Linked DNA regions of Arabidopsis thaliana. The protein of the gene in region 1 interacts with the protein of each later gene in a pairwise test. Each region holds a gene or a part of one and is shown in the gene's direction. Other genes may lie near its edges.

Region 1 (3,929 bases):
CTATCTGGGAATGCTTCCAAGGATCTGCTTCTAATGCATAGAGTAATATTTTCTTTCTATGAATATTGCTTCCTTTTTGTATATATTTTTTTCTCATTTGTTTTGTTTTTCTTGTTAATCATATTCACCTGTTTTACCGATTCCCAGCTCGGTGAGACCATTCACCCGATGAAGGAGGACTTTATCATGGTCCACTTGCAGCCTTCTTGCACTCATTGCTGCATACTGATGGTATCTGGTAATCGTTGGGTCTGCAGCCAGTGCAAACACTTCCAGATTTGTGACAAGTAAGAATTCTTTCGAGGTCTTTTTGCTCTTTGATTTTATAATCCCTTCTTTGTTGTATTGCACATAAGATTATGTAGAAGTCCCGAGAGATACATTTATTGGATGGGCTATGTGTCCTTGTTACTGATTAAGTTCCTCTGAATCTAAAATGTCATTCTTCTTTTTAGGTGTTACGAGGCTGAGCAGAGACGTGAAGACAGGGAAAGGCATCCTGTTAATTTTAAGGATAAGCATGCGTTGTATCCAGTGAGTTGCATTTTCTTGTTGAGGATAGTGTTCTTTAGCTTTGTCTATGATCAGTTTTGTGAATATTGGTGGTATTGATATCGCAGGTTGAGATTATGGATATTCCTGCAGATACAAGAGACAAAGATGAAATACTCGAAAGCGAGTTTTTCGACACTAGACAAGCATTTCTGAGTCTTTGTCAAGGGAACCATTATCAGTATGATACATTGAGGCGGGCAAAACATTCGTCCATGATGGTCCTTTATCATCTACATAACCCAACCGCTCCTGCCTTTGTCACGACCTGCAATGCGTGTCATCTTGACATTGAAACTGGTCAAGGCTGGCGCTGTGAAGTATGTCCAGACTACGATGTGTGCAATGCCTGTTTCAGTAGAGATGGTGGAGTTAATCATCCTCACAAGTTGACGAATCATCCATCTTTAGCTGATCAAAATGCTCAAAACAAAGAAGCGAGGCAATTGCGAGTCTTGCAGGTATACACTATACTGTTCCTTTCTAAAACTGATGGTGCTTCTCTCTTGGTCCTGAAATTTGTATGCAAATAGTAACATTTTTTTTTTGTTCTCTTCTTTTGGTTTTGCAGCTTAGGAAAATGCTCGATCTTCTGGTACATGCATCACAATGTCGTTCGGCACATTGTCAATATCCGAATTGCCGGAAAGTGAAAGGGCTATTCCGACATGGTATCAACTGCAAAGTACGTGCTTCGGGAGGTTGTGTTCTATGCAAAAAAATGTGGTATCTCCTGCAACTCCATGCTCGGGCCTGCAAGGAATCAGAGTGCCATGTACCTCGTTGCAGGTAAACAAACCTCATGAAATTACATCAACCTTACATTTAAGACGTGAAACATATTTGGTCCATTTGATTTTGTGTTGATGATCATTGTGAACATCTCTGTCTCTCTGTTCAGGGACCTAAAGGAGCATCTGAGAAGATTACAGCAGCAATCAGATTCACGGCGCAGAGCAGCTGTAATGGAAATGATGAGACAAAGAGCTGCAGAAGTCGCTGGGGGCTCAGGTTAAAAAAAACTTGTATATTTAGAAAGATCAATTCAAAGTTGCAAAAACTTTCATCCTTCTCTCGAAGGTAACACCTTTTGGAAGAAGAAGAAGAAGAGCCAGTTAGAGAGAGACAGATTGTGAAATTAGCTTAGATTGGTATTTAACAGTCACGGGTCAGGGATTAACATGCGAGCTTTAAACCAAGGATGCCACTTTCCAGAAGAAGAAGAAAGAGAGCAATGCCAGCCTTCTTCACAGATGACAAGAGTGTTGAGAGATTCAGGTTTGATGGGGTTTGGTTGGCTGATCTTCTGATTCTATCTATACATACACACACGCGCACACACACACTTGCCCACTTCTATTTTTGGTAATTTATTGTATTTTTGTAAAATTGACATTTCTGATTCGGGAATGGCAAGAGTGTAACATATACAGTACGTTAACGTGTTTTTTTTTTTTTTTGTTTTTTTTTTGTGTAAGCAAAGTAAGATAAGAGAGAATAGAGAGTCTTTAGATTCTCTACCACTCTTTTTTTTTGGTAATTTGTATTGATGAAATTTGTATTCACACTTTGAATCAATAATAATTTAGTTCTTTGATTAGATTTGTAAACGTGCATGTTTTATTTGCAGTTAGTGTGTTACTGTGATTGAGAAGAAGGTTTAGAGAGACGAATCTTAATGCCACGTAAGCAGGAGATTCTGATAAGTATCTAACTGGGCGTTTGGTGGAGTTTGAGAAGTATCTAAATTCCAAGCCACCAGAAACGGACACGTGTCTAAACAAGGATAGAGTGTAGAACGAGAACCACTTAGCTTAAGCAAGACAGAGAGTCTGATGAGAAAACTGCACAAGAAAATCAGCAAGAGTAATGATAATACACTGTCCTTCGTCATCTCTCTATCGCGCGAAATTGTTATACAACAGAGGTAGTAGTAAATCTCATCAGTGTCAGTGTCAGAGTCGCTTGGTGACTCGATCTGCGGCTGTTCGTATATCCACGGCGACGATCGGGGCTATAGCCGCGGCGGTTATGATGGCTGCTGTGTCCGTAGCTTCAGCAGAGCTTCCACCGCCGCCGCAAGATGGAGAAACGTTATCTAACGTACCGCAAACGCTGTCAGGGGAAGACTGTAAGAAACAGAGGATCCAACGACCAAAATCCAAAAACGCAGAGAAATGTACAGTCAAATGCGTAAACACTTGCATTCGCAGCGGAGACGGAGAAGGACCGATCAATATCAGAAGGTATCTCTCTCTCTCTCTCTGTTTCTGTTTATATCTCTCTGAATTCTTCATGACTGATATTTTGATCTCTTGTAAATGAAAGGCCATTAGTGGTATTCAAGCAAGGATTTCGTAGCCGTAATTACTGGTATCCTTCTTTCTAGATTAAAGGGTTCGTTGCTTTCTTTATTAGCATGGATCTTAATTATCGGAGCTGTGACTTGTAATTGTAGCTTAGTGGAATGCTCGGATATATGCAATTTGATCGGAGATGGTGACTATGGTCCCTGAAACATGAAAAGAAACAGAGGAGAAGGAAAAGGAACTGATTCAGAATAATTTTGTAGAATCTGTTTTTTTGGAAAGAAGATTCAAACACGGTGATATTTGGTCTCAATATAAAGAATACACAGGTTTCAGAGAATTGCTTGGCAGATTGAGGGAATCCAAGTGACTGTGTCTTGTTTCTTCGTGACATGCGGCAAAACACGTTGTTGGCTTACAGTTATTTCTAATTATCTCGTTGAAAAATCAAGGCCCAATGGGTGGTAATATGGCCCAACGGAAAACTAATGGGCCGTACGCATTATCGTAAACCAGCTTGTTCTGTTTCCTCAAATTAATAAATCAGCGAAATGTTGGAAAGTTTCACCTAATTCACTCCTAAGCTCTGTTATAAATTCTCTTCTAGACAGCATCTTCCAACAACCCACACCACACAACATTCTTCATTCTCTCCGAAAACAACAACCAAATGGGAGAAGCGGCGGAGCAAGCACGTGGCTTCCACGTGACCACCACCAGGAAGCAAGTCATCACGGCGGCTCTTCCCCTCCAGGACCACTGGCTCCCACTCTCGAACCTCGACCTCCTCCTTCCTCCTCTCAACGTTCACGTTTGCTTTTGCTACAAGAAACCACTTCACTTTACCAACACAGTGGCTTATGAAACCCTCAAGACTGCTTTGGCAGAGACTCTCGTCTCCTACTACGCCTTTGCCGGCGAGCTCGTCACCAATCCTACCGGAGAACCGGAGATCCTCTGCAACAACCGTGGCGTAGATTTCGTGGAAGCCGGTGCTGACGTGGAGCTCCGAGAGCTTAACCTGTATGATCCTGATGAAAGTATTGCCAAGCTAGTCCCCATCAAGAA
Region 2 (6,274 bases), on another chromosome or scaffold:
TCCATATGACAACCTGAGAGTTGAGCTTGGAGGAGAGCCATAGAGACCCATCTAAGTGATCTGCTCATCAAAACAGGAAGCGTGTTTTCTTCACTGCTTTGTTCTTTAAAATGTTTGTTGTTTCCTGCTTAGAACTTGAAGACAAAAGAATAAAAAGAAGACTTTGTTTTTATTATATGCGTTGTCTCTGTAATTAACAGTGACCAGTGAGAGAGATCCATAAGAGAAGACTTCTGGTTCAGGAAATCTTGAGTTGTGTTTTGTAACTTTTAGAAAACAATCGTCTCGCAATTCAGTTAGCGCCATGTGTCGAACCAAGTTTGAGCCTCGTACGACTTCAATCAAACAAAGGCTACAATAAAAAGAAAAAAGAAAAAAACAGAAAGACAAATTAAACCTAATGGGGCATGTGAGTGGGACATTGAGAGAAACTCGAACTTGTTCGTATCCGTCTTGGAATTGAAACTTTGGTTTTATATCCATTACGTATTCGGTATTTCTTTCCTCTTCTGTATATTATTCATATCTTATACGCATTTATTTAGTTCTCTTTGTTTTCTCTGATGATTATCTCTATCAAAATTCATCACGACAAGTAGTTTAGTAAGAAATTCGTATTTGTAAACATAGATCTTATTCTTACGGGTAAAAATTAATATGATAAAAGATTGGTGTGACTTGTCTAAAATTTTTATACTAAGAAGAATACTTTAAGAAGCTCTAATTTGAAATTTGATAAGTGACTGTGGGATGATGAATTGGATTTGACTTGTACAAATACACGTCTAATGTAGACTTGTCACAATAAGGGGCAAGTTTAGAGACTACATAGTCTACAATGCAGATGATTAAAACTATAGTTGATAATCATAGAATCTTAAATAAAAATCATAGAATCTATGGACTGAAACTTTCCAAGTGATGGAATCAAAGACAGCCACATGAGTCAAGGATTTCTTTCAATCTTTTCAAATATTCCATAAGAGTAAATAATAATAGTTTCATGATCAAAATCATCAATGTGATCTGCCTATGTGTCATTTGTACCGGCTCTTGTTCAACCTGACTGTTTTGGACCCCTTCAAAACAAGATTGTGATTGGTACCACACCTCTATTTTTCTCTCTTATTATGTTATATCCAGTTATATTTGAGGGAATAGTTCTTATAAGTCTTCCTTCTCTTTGTTGGCAAACTGGATATAGCAAATCTCATCGTACGTATATCTTTACATGCATGTGTGTATGTGTGCTTATCTTCTTTAGACCAAGTGCATCTATATCTCTTAGAGAGATTTGACAGACAAGTTAAAAAATCCAAATACATGTCGATTCTTGAACATTTCTAAGAAAATTTGTATCTATATGATTATTACAACAATATGATTATTATTATTAAATTTGGAGGAAAAAGGACAAAAAAAAAAGAGAGGGGAGGGTAAGAACCAGGGAAGTTGGGCTCTGGAGGAGTACCAAAGGCTGCATATAATAACGTGTCTCACTCGCTCTCTTTACTCTTGCCAACTATCAATTTGGCTTTCAATTCTTTCTCTTTTGTCCTCATTTATTTCCATATTTTTCAACATTTCTATATCCTCTTAATTCTAAACCATAAAAAAGGATTTATATATCAATTCGAAAATGATTATGTTTTTCTAAATATTTCGTAATATGTAGCTTATTTAGCAAAAGAATATACTTTGAAATTTTAGTTATTCTACTATCCATTTGACATATTAATCAAAGTTACAGGCTTATGGATTGTGGATAAAACGAAACCAATAAATGTTAATGGAGAAGCTACGATCAATATTATCTACAAGTTATAACTCTTAAGTTTACATATTTTTAATGATTAATTCCCTATAGGCTATAGCACTTGGATTATATGACTACTGAATAATTTATTAGCAAATAGATTGTTATGATTACTTGTCATCTTAATCTCTAGTGTCCTTTTATGGGTCATCAGATTCTAGAGTCCAGACAAAATTACAAGCCATCACAGCGTCGCCACTTGTAACTTGTAATTTGCAAGACCCCATCATTTTCATTTTCATGGCCGATTATTTTCCTTAGATAAACTGAAAAGTCATCAATCACATATTCACTGAAGAATGACCTTTCTTTCGTATATTAACCCATTATCTAATAATTCGATTTTGGCTTCCAAAAAAATACATTATTTGTCTCTTTAATCAATCTTACCCCATACATTGTTAATTTTATTTGCGTGAACCAGCAAAAATTTGTGATTGAAAATACAATTTTTTTTTACAGGAAAAAAACACAAGTTTACTAAAAAGGCCTTCACATACTAAAACATGTCACATGTGTCACTCACGGTCTTACACCGAATATTTTCGTCATATGACCACAAACTTTAATTATTCTATAAATAACCTTAATATAAACACATTTCGTATATTTATTTTTATGTTTTGCCCAAACACATTATAATAAAAGAAATAAATAAATTTATAAAAAGGCTCATTTCTCTTCTTCTTTGGTTCTTACATTTCTCTATATCATTTTTTGTCCTTCCATTAAAAACGGAATAAACAGAATGAACGGTGGTGATGTCACCGTCGCCGGATCCGACGATCTGAAATCTCCGCTCTTACCGGTCGTCCATAATGATGAACCATTCGAACGACAAACGGTGGGACAACAACTTCGGACAATATTCACGCCCAAAAACTGTTACATCGCTCTTGGTCCTCTTCTTTGCGCCGTCGTGTGTCTATGCGTAGATCTCGGGGGAGATGAAACGACGACGGCGAGGAACATGCTCGGTGTTTTGGTGTGGATGTTCGCGTGGTGGTTGACGGAGGCCGTTCCGATGCCGATCACCTCCATGACGCCGCTCTTCCTCTTCCCTCTCTTTGGTATATCGGCTGCGGATGACGTAGCAAATTCTTACATGGATGACGTCATCTCCCTTGTACTCGGCAGCTTCATACTTGCTCTCGCCGTCGAACACTACAACATCCATCGCCGGCTTGCCCTTAACGTTAGTCTTTCCTTTATCTCTTTATCTTCTTCTTCTTCTTCTTCTTTTTTCTACATAATTTATTCAATATTTGATTCTTTCCGATTGTGTGCGGGTCCACGGGTGAATTAATTACAAAATATGATCGTTAAATAGGTGGATTGCTTCAATTGAATCCCTACTTATAAAATTAAACATTACAATGTGTAGTGGTCCATGTTTTATACGTGGTGATGCCAGATTATATGTTTTTCCTTCCCCATACATTTTTTTCCCCACACACATTTATTTCGTTTTAATTCTTCTTCAATAATTTGTGTGTTCAAAGTCTAATGATAACTTGATCATTTAAAGTTAAGTTATTAACATACAAAGAGTCCTTTATTTCAATTTTTTAAACAAAATCTTTTTCATATGCATTTTATTTTATTTTATTTGTATCATAGATGAGATGTCATTTCATGAGGCCCTAGGCCAATCCATAATTCCATTTATATGACAACCCAAAAAAAAAGATGAGAGACACGTAAACACTATGTTTCTCCAGCAAAAGCAATGATAGTGAGTATGATTTAATTTGTGCAAGTGCGGGCTCCAATAATTAGCTCACAAGTCACAACTATAATCATTGTTTACTTTTATCATGTTTTTAAACTATAATTAATCGTACGAGAGATATCCTATGATTAAGAGAAAACTCACCAGTCACCACGTATCTAATTATGATAAGCTAATACCATAACTTAATGGATAATCTAATTCTTGAAGATAACGTTGGTGTTCTGCGTGGAGCCGCTAAACGCGCCGCTACTTCTGCTTGGCATCTGCGCCACAACAGCGTTCGTAAGCATGTGGATGCATAACGTAGCAGCTGCAGTCATGATGATGCCTGTCGCTACGGGGATACTTCAGAGACTGCCCTCGTCATCATCGACGACGGAAGTGGTGCATCCGGCCGTGGGGAAGTTTAGCAGGGCGGTGGTGTTAGGTGTGATATACTCTGCGGCGGTTGGTGGGATGAGCACACTCACTGGAACAGGAGTGAATCTGATTCTTGTTGGAATGTGGAAAAGCTACTTCCCTGAGGCTGATCCGATCAGTTTTAGCCAATGGTTCTTCTTTGGCTTCCCATTGGCTTTGTGCATATTCGTGGTGCTTTGGTGTGTTCTTTGTGTTATGTATTGTCCTAAAGGAGCAGGACAAGCTCTCTCTCCTTATCTCCATAAATCTCATCTCAGGAGAGAGCTTGATTTGTTAGGGCCAATGAACTTCGCTGAGAAGATGGTCTTAGCCGTGTTTGGTGGGTTGGTTGTGTTGTGGATGACAAGGAATATAACTGATGATATCCCCGGCTGGGGTCGGATCTTCGCCGGCCGAGCCGGGGATGGAACCGTGAGTGTGATGATGGCGACATTGTTGTTTATCATCCCAAGCAATATTAAAAAAGGAGAGAAGCTAATGGACTGGAACAAATGCAAGAAACTACCATGGAACATTGTCTTGTTATTGGGAGCTGGATTCGCTATAGCCGATGGAGTACGCACCAGTGGCTTAGCTGAGGTCTTATCCAAAGGACTTGTCTTCCTTGAAACGGCTCCTTACTGGGCCATTGCTCCAACGGTTTGCCTCATCGCTGCTACCATCACAGAGTTCACTTCAAACAACGCAACCACTACATTGTTGGTTCCGTTACTCATCGAAATCGCAAAGAACATGGGGATCCATCCTTTGCTCTTGATGGTTCCAGGAGCCATTGGGGCTCAGTTCGCTTTCTTGCTTCCCACGGGAACACCCTCTAACGTCGTTGGGTTCACGACAGGGCATATAGAGATCAAAGACATGATCAAGACAGGCTTGCCTCTCAAGATCGCTGGAACCATCTTTCTCTCCATCTTGATGCCCACTCTTGGTAATTTACTCAAAACCTTCTTCTTTATATAATAAGATTCATTGTAGTTTAGTTTTCTTATAGATATTGTTACATGATGCCAGGGGCTTACGTTTTTGCATCAATGGGAGGAGTTTAGTTCTACAAGCCAAGCACAAGACCATGTACACAATTGATTTATTGTACTATATTGTTTACTACCGTAATACATATGTAGATATATAGTCAATGGAATGGGAAATTTAGATGAGGTCAAAATTCACAAAATCGGCCCATTTTTGTAACCCGCCCGATTATAGTTTCCGGTACCATTGCTTTCTTTTGTGCTTCCAACGTACCGGTAACTTTGGTCCCTTTTTTTTTTTGTTTGGTGTGTATATGAAAAAGGGTTAATACAGATTTGTGTGTTCTTCTTCCTAACAATAGCAACTAGTGGCAAATCCAGCGCGCGGTCCAACCTGGCCATACCATACCACGTCATTGTCCAGCGTGTCTTCTTCTGTTTTCGGTTTTCTACAAACACAAAAAGCAAAGAAAACAAAACATCAATGCATGGTTTATAACGTCTTGCTTTTTAATTAGTTTTTGTCCTTTACACTCATTTATGTTCTTTCTTTGTCCTTTGCTATACACTACTTGTCTATTGAATAATATGCTTATAATCGTAAAAAACTACAAGTAGTCATAATCCTTTTGGATATTTATTTTCGTAGGTAGAAGTTGGCCATTGCAAATTACATAAATGATATCCAACCTCTAGAGGATAAACCTCATTAATTTGTCTATATTATGCTGAATTCCATAACATATAAAGAATTATGTGAGTGTTAATTATTTACCAATAAATTAGTATAAATTTTGAAATACAAAGCAAAAAAGTTTTTCATAAAAGTTCATTAAACCTTTTGCCTAAATTATGGCATGTGTTATTAAGATTAGAAATAAATATTCTGCTAGAAATCTAGAATTCTGCCACACGTCATGCCACGTGGCGGACCTTTAATGTATTTAAAAGCCCTTAAACTCAATGCCATAATCAATTTTGAGGAAACAACAGTTACAAAGCAAAATGACTAGTAAGGTCGTCTTCCTTCTTCTCCTCTCTCTCGTCGTCGTCCTCCTCCCTCTCTACGCCTCTGCGGCTGCCCGCGTCGGTGGTTGGAGTCCCATCAGCAACGTTACGGACCCTCAAGTCGTAGAGATCGGTGAATTCGCGGTCTCCGAGTACAACAAACGGAGCGAATCGGGACTCAAGTTCGAGACGGTTGTTAGCGGCGAGACTCAGGTCGTATCTGGTACAAATTACCGTCTTAAGGTGGCGGCTAATGACGGCGACGGAGTGAGCAAGAACTACTTGGCAATCGTATGGGACAAGCCGTGGATGAAATTCAGAAAT

What was found.
Region 2: the proteins of AT1G78995 (region 1) and TDT interact in a protein complementation assay, tested with the Arabidopsis thaliana proteins (one large-scale study listed by BioGRID).

What each region holds. Positions count from the first base shown.
Region 1 is NC_003070.9:29,714,572-29,718,500, reverse strand, and holds AT1G78995 (uncharacterized protein), read left to right. Parts: upstream 1-2,245; 5' UTR 2,246-2,421; coding exon 2,422-2,798; intron 2,799-2,880; coding exon 2,881-2,925; intron 2,926-3,010; coding exon 3,011-3,068; 3' UTR 3,069-3,429; downstream 3,430-3,929. Other genes in the region: HAC1 (histone acetyltransferase of the CBP family 1), read left to right, coding at 1-42, 148-287, 456-534, 621-1,013, 1,124-1,341, 1,454-1,563, 1,726-1,862; AT1G78990 (HXXXD-type acyl-transferase family protein), read left to right, coding at 3,532-3,929.
Region 2 is NC_003076.8:19,286,638-19,292,911, reverse strand, and holds TDT (tonoplast dicarboxylate transporter), read left to right. Parts: upstream 1-1,808; 5' UTR 1,809-2,564; coding exon 2,565-3,011; intron 3,012-3,758; coding exon 3,759-4,899; intron 4,900-4,982; coding exon 4,983-5,017; 3' UTR 5,018-5,543; downstream 5,544-6,274. Other genes in the region: AT5G47570 (NADH dehydrogenase ubiquinone 1 beta subcomplex subunit), read left to right, coding at 1-43; AT5G47550 (Cystatin/monellin superfamily protein), read left to right, coding at 5,948-6,274.